Sus scrofa: one gene and its partner. The protein of the gene in region 1 interacts with the protein of each later gene in a biochemical or structural test. Links are inferred from orthologs where the notes say so. Each region holds a gene or a part of one and is shown on either strand. Other genes may lie near its edges. The genes, in order: TFAP2A and CITED2.

The links.
Region 2: the proteins of TFAP2A (region 1) and CITED2 form a complex in vitro, tested with the Homo sapiens proteins (2 studies listed by BioGRID, with this or other methods). The link is inferred for Sus scrofa from reciprocal best matches to the Homo sapiens genes TFAP2A and CITED2.

Annotation. Positions count from the first base shown.
Region 1 is NC_010449.5:7,233,339-7,237,148, reverse strand, and holds part of TFAP2A (transcription factor AP-2-alpha), read left to right. Parts: intron 1-559; exon of another isoform or gene 560-658; coding exon of another isoform or gene 659-685; intron 686-1,942; coding exon 1,943-2,377; intron 2,378-3,810.
Region 2 is NC_010443.5:25,154,250-25,158,614, forward strand, and holds CITED2 (cbp/p300-interacting transactivator 2), read left to right. Parts: upstream 1-1,402; 5' UTR 1,403-1,659; intron 1,660-2,121; 5' UTR 2,122-2,129; coding exon 2,130-2,951; 3' UTR 2,952-4,268; downstream 4,269-4,365. UniProt on the Homo sapiens protein: Transcriptional coactivator of the p300/CBP-mediated transcription complex. Acts as a bridge, linking TFAP2 transcription factors and the p300/CBP transcriptional coactivator complex in order to stimulate TFAP2-mediated transcriptional activation.

The DNA of each region.
Region 1 (3,810 bases):
GCCCGCTCCCTCTCTCGCCCGCTTTTTGTCTCTCGCGCTCCCTCTCCCCACCTCCGATTTGCTACACTGAGGCTCCCGTCAATGGACTGCATTGAGAGCCGGCTCCGGCGCGAGTTGCCTCTCCGCTTCACGCTCGATTTCCAGGCATTCTTCCCTTATTAAGTATTCGTGTAATATTAATAGTCATGAATATCTGCTATTAGGAGGCTCCAGGAACGCTGCCCGGCGCGGTTATTAGAAGCTCAAGCGAAGCCGCCGCTAAGAAAAGAGGGGGAGACACGGATTAAGGAACACGCACACACACGCACACACACACACACACACACACGCACAGACACAGACACACACACACTTTTTGCTTTTTCCCTTTTTGGGGTTTTTCATTTTTTAAGGAACTTTGAATCCTACCCGATCACGGCAGGATAGAGACCGTGGGTTCGACCAGCTGAAGGCGCCGCTCCAATCGGTGGTTCAAGTTCGGATGGACCAGAGCGGGGCTCCAGCGCTCGGGGGAGCGGCGGCGCCGTGACCGGAGTCCTGGGTGGCGCGGGGCTCTCGGCGCCTTTTGTGTGGGGCGCGCTCGGGCGGCGGGGCAGCCGGGCTCTCCGGGCTTGCTTGTCGTTTTCCACCCTGACTCGTTACCCCAGACTCTTCGCAGATGTTAGTTCACAGTTTTTCAGCTATGGTGAGTCCCATCCCCACCCCCATCCCTGTTTCCTTAGGAATTCGACTCGAAACCTGGGGCTGCCGAGCGGCCCGAGACTTCGGGTTCCTCGCCCGGCTGTCCTTCGGGGCACCCCCTTTTCCGTTTGCATTCCCCTCTCTCCTCCTTTCTCTTCCTCTTTCCCCTTCTTGAAGCGAATGCGGTCCCCCCCACCCCACCCCCCGACCCCCGCTCGACCTCTCCCGGCGCGCAGACCTACCTCGCCGCTGCTTCCCGAGGCGTGTGTCTCTCGCCACGTTCATCCTGATTTCCTCGCCTCTTCACTTGTTCCCGAGCCGTTCTCAACATCTGATGCTTAATTCGGCTGCAGGAAAACGCTGCCCGGCGTGCCCCTTCCCCTCGGGGCCCGGGGCTGAACCTCCGAGGTTTCCCGTTCCCTGGAACCCACTCCGTTCGCTTGTTTTGCAAGCGAATTGCAATAGAGGAACACAAGTCAGGCGTTTCTTCTGCCCTTTGGGGCTGGGGTGGAAGGGGCGGGGGCCTCCGCCCCGGGGTGCACCTCTCTCTTTTAAACCCAATATAAGGCTGAATCTTTTCATTTGAAACCTGGTCTTGGCTTCCCCCTCTCCCCGTCCCTATCATAAATCGACCCTGTGCAGGAAAAAAAAAAAAAAAAAAAAGGCGCCTGAGGATTCGGAAAAGACAGCCCCCTATTCCGCGGTTAAAACCTTCTTTAGGCTGGTAATTTCAACGAGGGCTTCCCTTACAGCCCCTCTACGAAATATGTTTCTATTTAAATAATCATGAAATGGTAATGGTCTTTGAACGGGTTTGACTTTTTCCTCGAAATAAATGGAACAGGGTAAACAATAACGCAGTGGCAGGCAGGTTCAAATCCAGGGACAGAGAAGAGGCCGCTTCTGCAGTTTAATAGTTAGGAATTTTAATTTTGCTTAAGGGAGGTTTCACTCTGCAGCCTAACGAGCTGTGTTCCGGGAGGCCCCTTTCTGCTGTTTTTTCCCCCCTTGGAAAGAAACGCCTAAGGAGAGTCTCTAAAGCGCCCACCTTGGCACCATCTAATTCCCTGCGTTTGGGGAAGGGCCCGTTTCACTTCTGGAGAATTTTCTGCAAAGAACCACTCAGGGCTCCTTTCGTGCCGGCGGCCTGCGGACAGGAATGGGCGGTTTCCCACGCAGTCTGGCGGAGTGGATTTTGTGTGGCAGCTGTAACTCGACGCCTGATGTCTCCTTCTCTCCCCTTCTTGTCGCTCTCTTCCAGGACCGTCACGACGGCACCAGCAACGGGACGGCACGGTTGCCCCAGCTGGGCACTGTAGGTCAATCTCCCTACACGAGCGCCCCGCCGCTGTCCCACACCCCCAATGCCGACTTCCAGCCCCCCTACTTTCCCCCGCCCTACCAGCCTATCTACCCCCAGTCGCAAGATCCTTACTCCCACGTCAACGACCCCTACAGCCTGAACCCCCTGCACGCCCAGCCGCAGCCGCAGCACCCGGGCTGGCCCGGCCAGAGGCAGAGCCAGGAGTCTGGGCTCCTGCACACGCACCGGGGGCTACCCCACCAGCTGTCGGGCCTGGATCCTCGCAGGGACTACCGGCGGCACGAGGACCTCCTGCACGGCCCCCACGGGCTTGGCTCAGGACTCGGAGACCTCCCGATCCACTCCTTACCTCACGCCATCGAGGACGTCCCGGTAAGAGGCCGCGCGGGCAGGGCGGCGGCGGAGGAGGCGCAGCCCCTGCTCGCCCCCCTCCCCCAAGCTCCCCACCACGTCCAGCCGGAGGGGGCCTGGGCTTCCCCCTCCGTGGTGTTGGCTTTCTCAAAAAGCCTCGTTTTATTTTGGGGGGAGGGGGGTGGACCCTTGCAGGACCCTCCTAGACAACCGCATTAAACATTTGCACAAGTAGTTGAGAGAGAGAGAGTTCTGCCCCTAGAACAATGGTTCCTGGACCTCCTGCAAACAATGCCTGCGTTACCATTTATATAAATCAGACGGGTTTCTATAAATCACCGTATCTTGTCACCGGTGATACCTTCCCCTCTCCACGACGGTAAACCGTTTCAGTTGGGAGAGGATCCGAGTCCACCGCTGAGGCTGTCGTGGGGATTTCTGAAAAACGTGTTAGAGTCCACCAAAAGAACTCATTTAAATGCCCTAGCAATTTAAGGGAAAGTGTGAAGGATAGACGAAGAAAATGATTTTTTTACTGGATTTTGTGAACACCAGTGATATCTGAAAGTTATGTGTCCACCCTACCCTGATTAAAGAACACTAAGCAGCAAATCCGGGCAGGACATTAAATGCAGCCTTTTTCTCTTCCTAGGGGTGCTAAGTGCTGACCTCATAAATCATTAGCTAGGTTCCCAACGCCTATCAGAACCTGCTACACCCCATATTAAATTAAATGTTTTGAGACGATTGGGCAGTGCATTCTTTGAGTTCTAATTCAGTTATCAATAAATGCAGCTTTGAATGCTTTCTAAATCAGCGTGGTATTAGCGCATTTACTATTTACAATGCAAGCCAGGCTATTGATAATTTGAAAATACTTTCTGAAATTAAATTTAAACCAGCATCTCTGCTTCAATCCTACATATTTATGGTCGCCTCACAACCTTCCTGAAATGGAATTAGAACAAGTCAATAATTTTATTAAAGCTGTAAAGGCTCTGTTAATGCTGCTTTTCTTTGGAGAGGAAATGTATCTGGATGTGATTTTTGCTAAAATGCTATTTCAAATTACTGCATCAAATATTGCAGCAATATGTCCGTTGACAGTTTAATGATTCCTGCATTAGATTGCAAAGAAAATGGTCAGATGAACTTACCTGCTTGCTTGGTGAATTTAAAACATTATTTAAGTTACATAGGCAAATAGGATATTTATTACGTCTCTCATTTGGCCTAGTTAATCGCTGAAATTTGTTGGTTATGTTTAGCAGCCTAGCATGGAAAGCAAGAAAGTAGGCAGTTGATCCAACATGGGGTTTAGTAAGCATTGTGTGTGTGTGTGTGCGTGTGTGTGTGTGTGTGTGTGTGTTACAGGTTTTTAGACACTGATACAGGTACGAAATGCTGCATTTCATGGAAAGTAGAAAGAGAGGAGTAATAGTTGAGAAAAGAGC
Region 2 (4,365 bases), on another chromosome or scaffold:
ACCACATAAAGAGCAATATAAAAGCTCGGAGCAGCCTCATCGTGGTGTTGGGGAAACAACTCGGCTTCCCCATTTGAGAAAGCAAGAGAGCTCTGACTGGGTAGTGGCCCAGACCGGTGTTAGGGCTTTTATTTGCAAGTCAATGAGCCAAATGGACGACCAGGCTAGTTGTGCCGCGTTCTGGGAAGCAAGGTTATTATTATCACCTATTGCCCCACTGAGAAATTTCACTGGAAAGGAATAGTCCCAGCAGTGTGTATGCTCGCGGTGCCATACGGGACGTGCAGCTACGTGCCCACCTCCAGAACGACTTTATTTACAAAGCGATTACCATGTTATCTATCTGTTTTCCTTTTCCAGCAACAGCAGCCTTACTCAGCCCTCGAATTTCTTAATTACAAACCCGTTCACTTCTAAAGCAACCCCAAACCGTCTGGCAGAACCCAGAGGGAGGCTGTGCAAGTTTGCACACACCCCCATCTCCCGGATCAAGGGCAACAGCAGAAGCAAGAAACTGTATGTGCAAAAAGGTGGATCTAGGGACGAGGATCGCTGAGTTTGTTTACAGAGGAGAGACGCCTCAGCTCGGATGCCAAAGCTACCAAGAGCTGCAAACGCAAACTTAGCAGAAGCACACGTACCCGGGAGCGGCGAGTGGGCCCCAAAACGCGGACAGGATTCCCGGCCGCTGGAGCGGAGGCAGCCGAGCGCTAGCGCGCTCAGTCCACCTGCAGCTGCAGCGGGCTGCCGGTCCCCGCCCCCAGCCTCTGTCCTTGAGGCGGGGGAGCGGGGGGGGGGGGGGGGGGGAGATTCACCTACACGCAGAATATCTAGATCAGGTCACCTAATGCCCAAATAGAAACACAAAGGCAAAACCCAGGAAAGCGTGCACAGGGGAGGGGACATTCTTTGCCTAGGGCTTAAAAACGCACTGGGGTAAACACAACCATTCTTTGCAGCCTGGGTAAGCTTTGGTAAGCTCAGGGAGGCAAAAAGGCACTATGGACGGCGTGGGCGCTGCATTGAATCCCCTTTTCCAGTAAAAAGCAGCTCAGATCGGTAGGTGAGCTGGGGGTTGGGGAATCCGGCCAGAGGGGGGCGATGAGTTTTCCTCGCTTCTTTCCGGACAGGCGCTACCTCTAGGCTGAGAGTCAAGGGAAGATTTTTTTCTCTGTGCCGGGGGCCGCCGTGCTGGCTCAGTGTTTGTGGAGGAAACCAGGATCCGGGGGCCGCGGGGCGGTGCCTGGGACCGCAGCCTCTGCGCACGTGCCTCCGGCCGAGGGGGAACTCGGTTGCCAGACCCAGTCCGGGGTGCTCAAAGTGCCGGAATCCGCATTTTCCCTCCGCCCCCCCGGGAGGCTCTCGCTCCGCCCTTTCTGAAATCCCTTATATTGACTGTGGCCAAAGCCCTAAGAAACACAGCTCATTGTTGGCAGCTGCCGGGCGGTCTAGCGATCTAGCGAGCTGTGAGGCAGCAGAGGGGAAATAAAAGGGAACGGCTCCGGTCCTGCCCCAGCAGCCGCTGCAAGACCTCGGCGCAGACTTCGAGACAGCGAGCGCCTTGCACACCGGAAAGGCCACCTCTATGTGCTGCTGAGCCGGTCCTGGACCCAACGATCCCGCCCTCGGTCTTCAGAGCAGAAATCGCAAGGACGGAAGGTAAGCGCGGCGAGAGAAGCTGGCTGGGGCTTCTGCCAACCCAGTCCGACGAGGGCTGGGTTTGCCCGGAGGAAGAGCGTGAGGCGGAGCTGGGGAATAACAACAGGATGTGCAACAACAGGATGAGGAGGGCTGATTTAATGCCTGAAGTTCGCGGCAGGGCTACGGGGCACTTCCTTTATTAGGCGACATCGGGGAGCAAAGGGGGGTGTGGGCTTGGGTCCCCCCGCCCGATCGCAGGGGAAAGGGATGTTTGTGCAGCGCGCGGCTCTGTTGTAGATGGCAGGTCTGTCTTGGTGGTGAACCCGGGTGCACAGGCTCCTGGTGGGATCCTCGGGATGATCGCAACCGAAGTGTGTCTAGGGAGTCTTGGGAGGGGGGCAAAGGCGAGAAAAGGTGGGCTGCGCTGTGGTGGGCGACACGTGTGGCTACGGTCTTAGCGTCTGCTTTTTTCACTTTCAGGACTGGAAATGGCAGACCATATGATGGCCATGAACCACGGGCGCTTCCCCGACGGCACCAATGGGCTGCACCACCACCCTGCCCACCGCATGGGTATGGGGCAGTTCCCAAGCCCCCATCACCACCAGCAGCAGCAGCCCCAACACACCTTTAACGCCCTAATGGGCGAGCACATACACTACGGCGCGGGCAACATGAATGCCACAAGCGGCATCAGGCACGCGATGGGGCCGGGGACTGTGAACGGAGGGCACCCCCCGAGCGCGCTGGCCCCCGCGGCCAGGTTTAACAACTCCCAGTTCATGGCCCCCCCCGTGGCCAGTCAGGGAGGCTCCCTGCCGGCCAGCATGCAGCTGCAGAAGCTCAACAACCAGTATTTCAACCATCACCCCTACCCCCACAACCACTACATGCCGGATTTGCACCCTGCTGCAGGCCACCAGATGAACGGGACAAACCAGCACTTCCGAGATTGCAACCCCAAGCACAGCAGCGGCAGCAGCACCCCCGGCGGCTCCGGCGGCAGCAGCACCCCCGGCGGCTCCGCGGGCACTTCTGGCGGCGGCGCGGGCAGCAGCAATAGCGGCGGCGGCAGCGGCAGCGGCAGCAGCAGCAACATGCCCGCCTCTGTGGCCCACGTCCCTGCTGCAATGCTGCCGCCCAATGTCATAGACACTGATTTCATCGACGAGGAAGTGCTTATGTCCTTAGTGATAGAAATGGGTTTGGACCGCATCAAGGAGCTGCCTGAACTCTGGCTGGGGCAAAACGAGTTTGATTTTATGACGGACTTCGTGTGCAAACAGCAGCCCAGTAGAGTAAGCTGTTGACTCGATCAAAATCTCGGAGAAAGAAATCAAATCCCCCAACTTCTTCGGCGTGAATTAAAAAACATTCCCTTAGACACAGTATCTCACTTTTCAGATCGTGAAAGGTTTGAGAACTTGGAAACAAAGTAAACTATAAACTTGTACAAATTGGTTTTAAAAATTGCTGCCACTTTTTTTTTTTTTCTGTTTTCGTTTCGTTTTTGTAGCCTTGACACTCACCTCCCTTATGTAGTTGAAATATCTAGCTAACTTGGTCTTTTTTGTTGTTTGTTTTTACTCCTTATTTCCTCACTTTCTCCAGTGCTGAACTGTTAGATATTAATCTTGGCAAACTGCTTAATCTTGTGGATTTTGTAGATGGTTTCAAATGACTGAACTGTATTCAGATTTATGAGGGAAAGGAAAAATTGCATTAGTTGGTTGCATGAACTTTGAAGGGCAGATATTACTGCACAAACTCTGCCATCTCACTTCATTTTTTTAACTATGCATTTGAGTACAGACGAATTTTTTAAAATATGCTAAACTGGAAGATTAAACAGATGTGGGCCAAACCGTTCTGAATCAGGAAAAGTCATACTGTTCACTTTCAAGGTGGCTGTCCCCCTCCCCCATATGTACAGACAATAATAGGGTGTGGAATGTCGTCAGTGGCAAACATTTCACAAATTTTTATTTTGTTTCTGTCTTCAACATTTTTGACACTGTGCTAATAGTTATATTCAGTACATGAAAAGATACTACTGTGTTGAAAGCTTTTTAGGAAATTTTGACAGTATTTTTGTACAAAACATTTTTTTGAAAAAATACTTGTTAATTTATTCTATTTTAATTTGCCAATGTCAATAAAAAGTTAAGAAATACTTGTTTTCTAGAAGTCATTTGGGGGTGGTTATTCCCTTTGGTGGCTTTCTTTTTTTCTCTTTAAGTTGAACACTTTATTGATGAGAGTAAGCATTCCAAAGGATAAATTACAGGACACTAAAACAGGTCATGATGAGCTTAAAGCGGAGAGCAGGATTTAACATAATTGGCATAATGCTTCATTGTTATCACTGTAACATGCCTCTTGGTGTGGTTTAATCAAAAGCTGCAAAGTTGTTAGAGCTTTTTTTCTTCCCCTGAATTGTCATCATAAGTGTACTCCAGAGTTAGGCAGGTTTGTAATACTAAATGTTATAAATATTTTTTCACAGAGAGGGAGGGGGGAAAGACAAGTATTTCTGGTTATACCTGATTCAACTACTTAACTGGAGGTAGACTGGAATAAAATACTGGGAGAGTGATGAGGATGTATTAAATACAAATCTGCCTTTATCTCTAGTGATGAATTTTATTTCTCAGCAAAAGTACTAAGGAGAGGCACACAATTTCTAGCTTAATCTCTGCGAAAGCTTCTGACTGGTTTACAGTT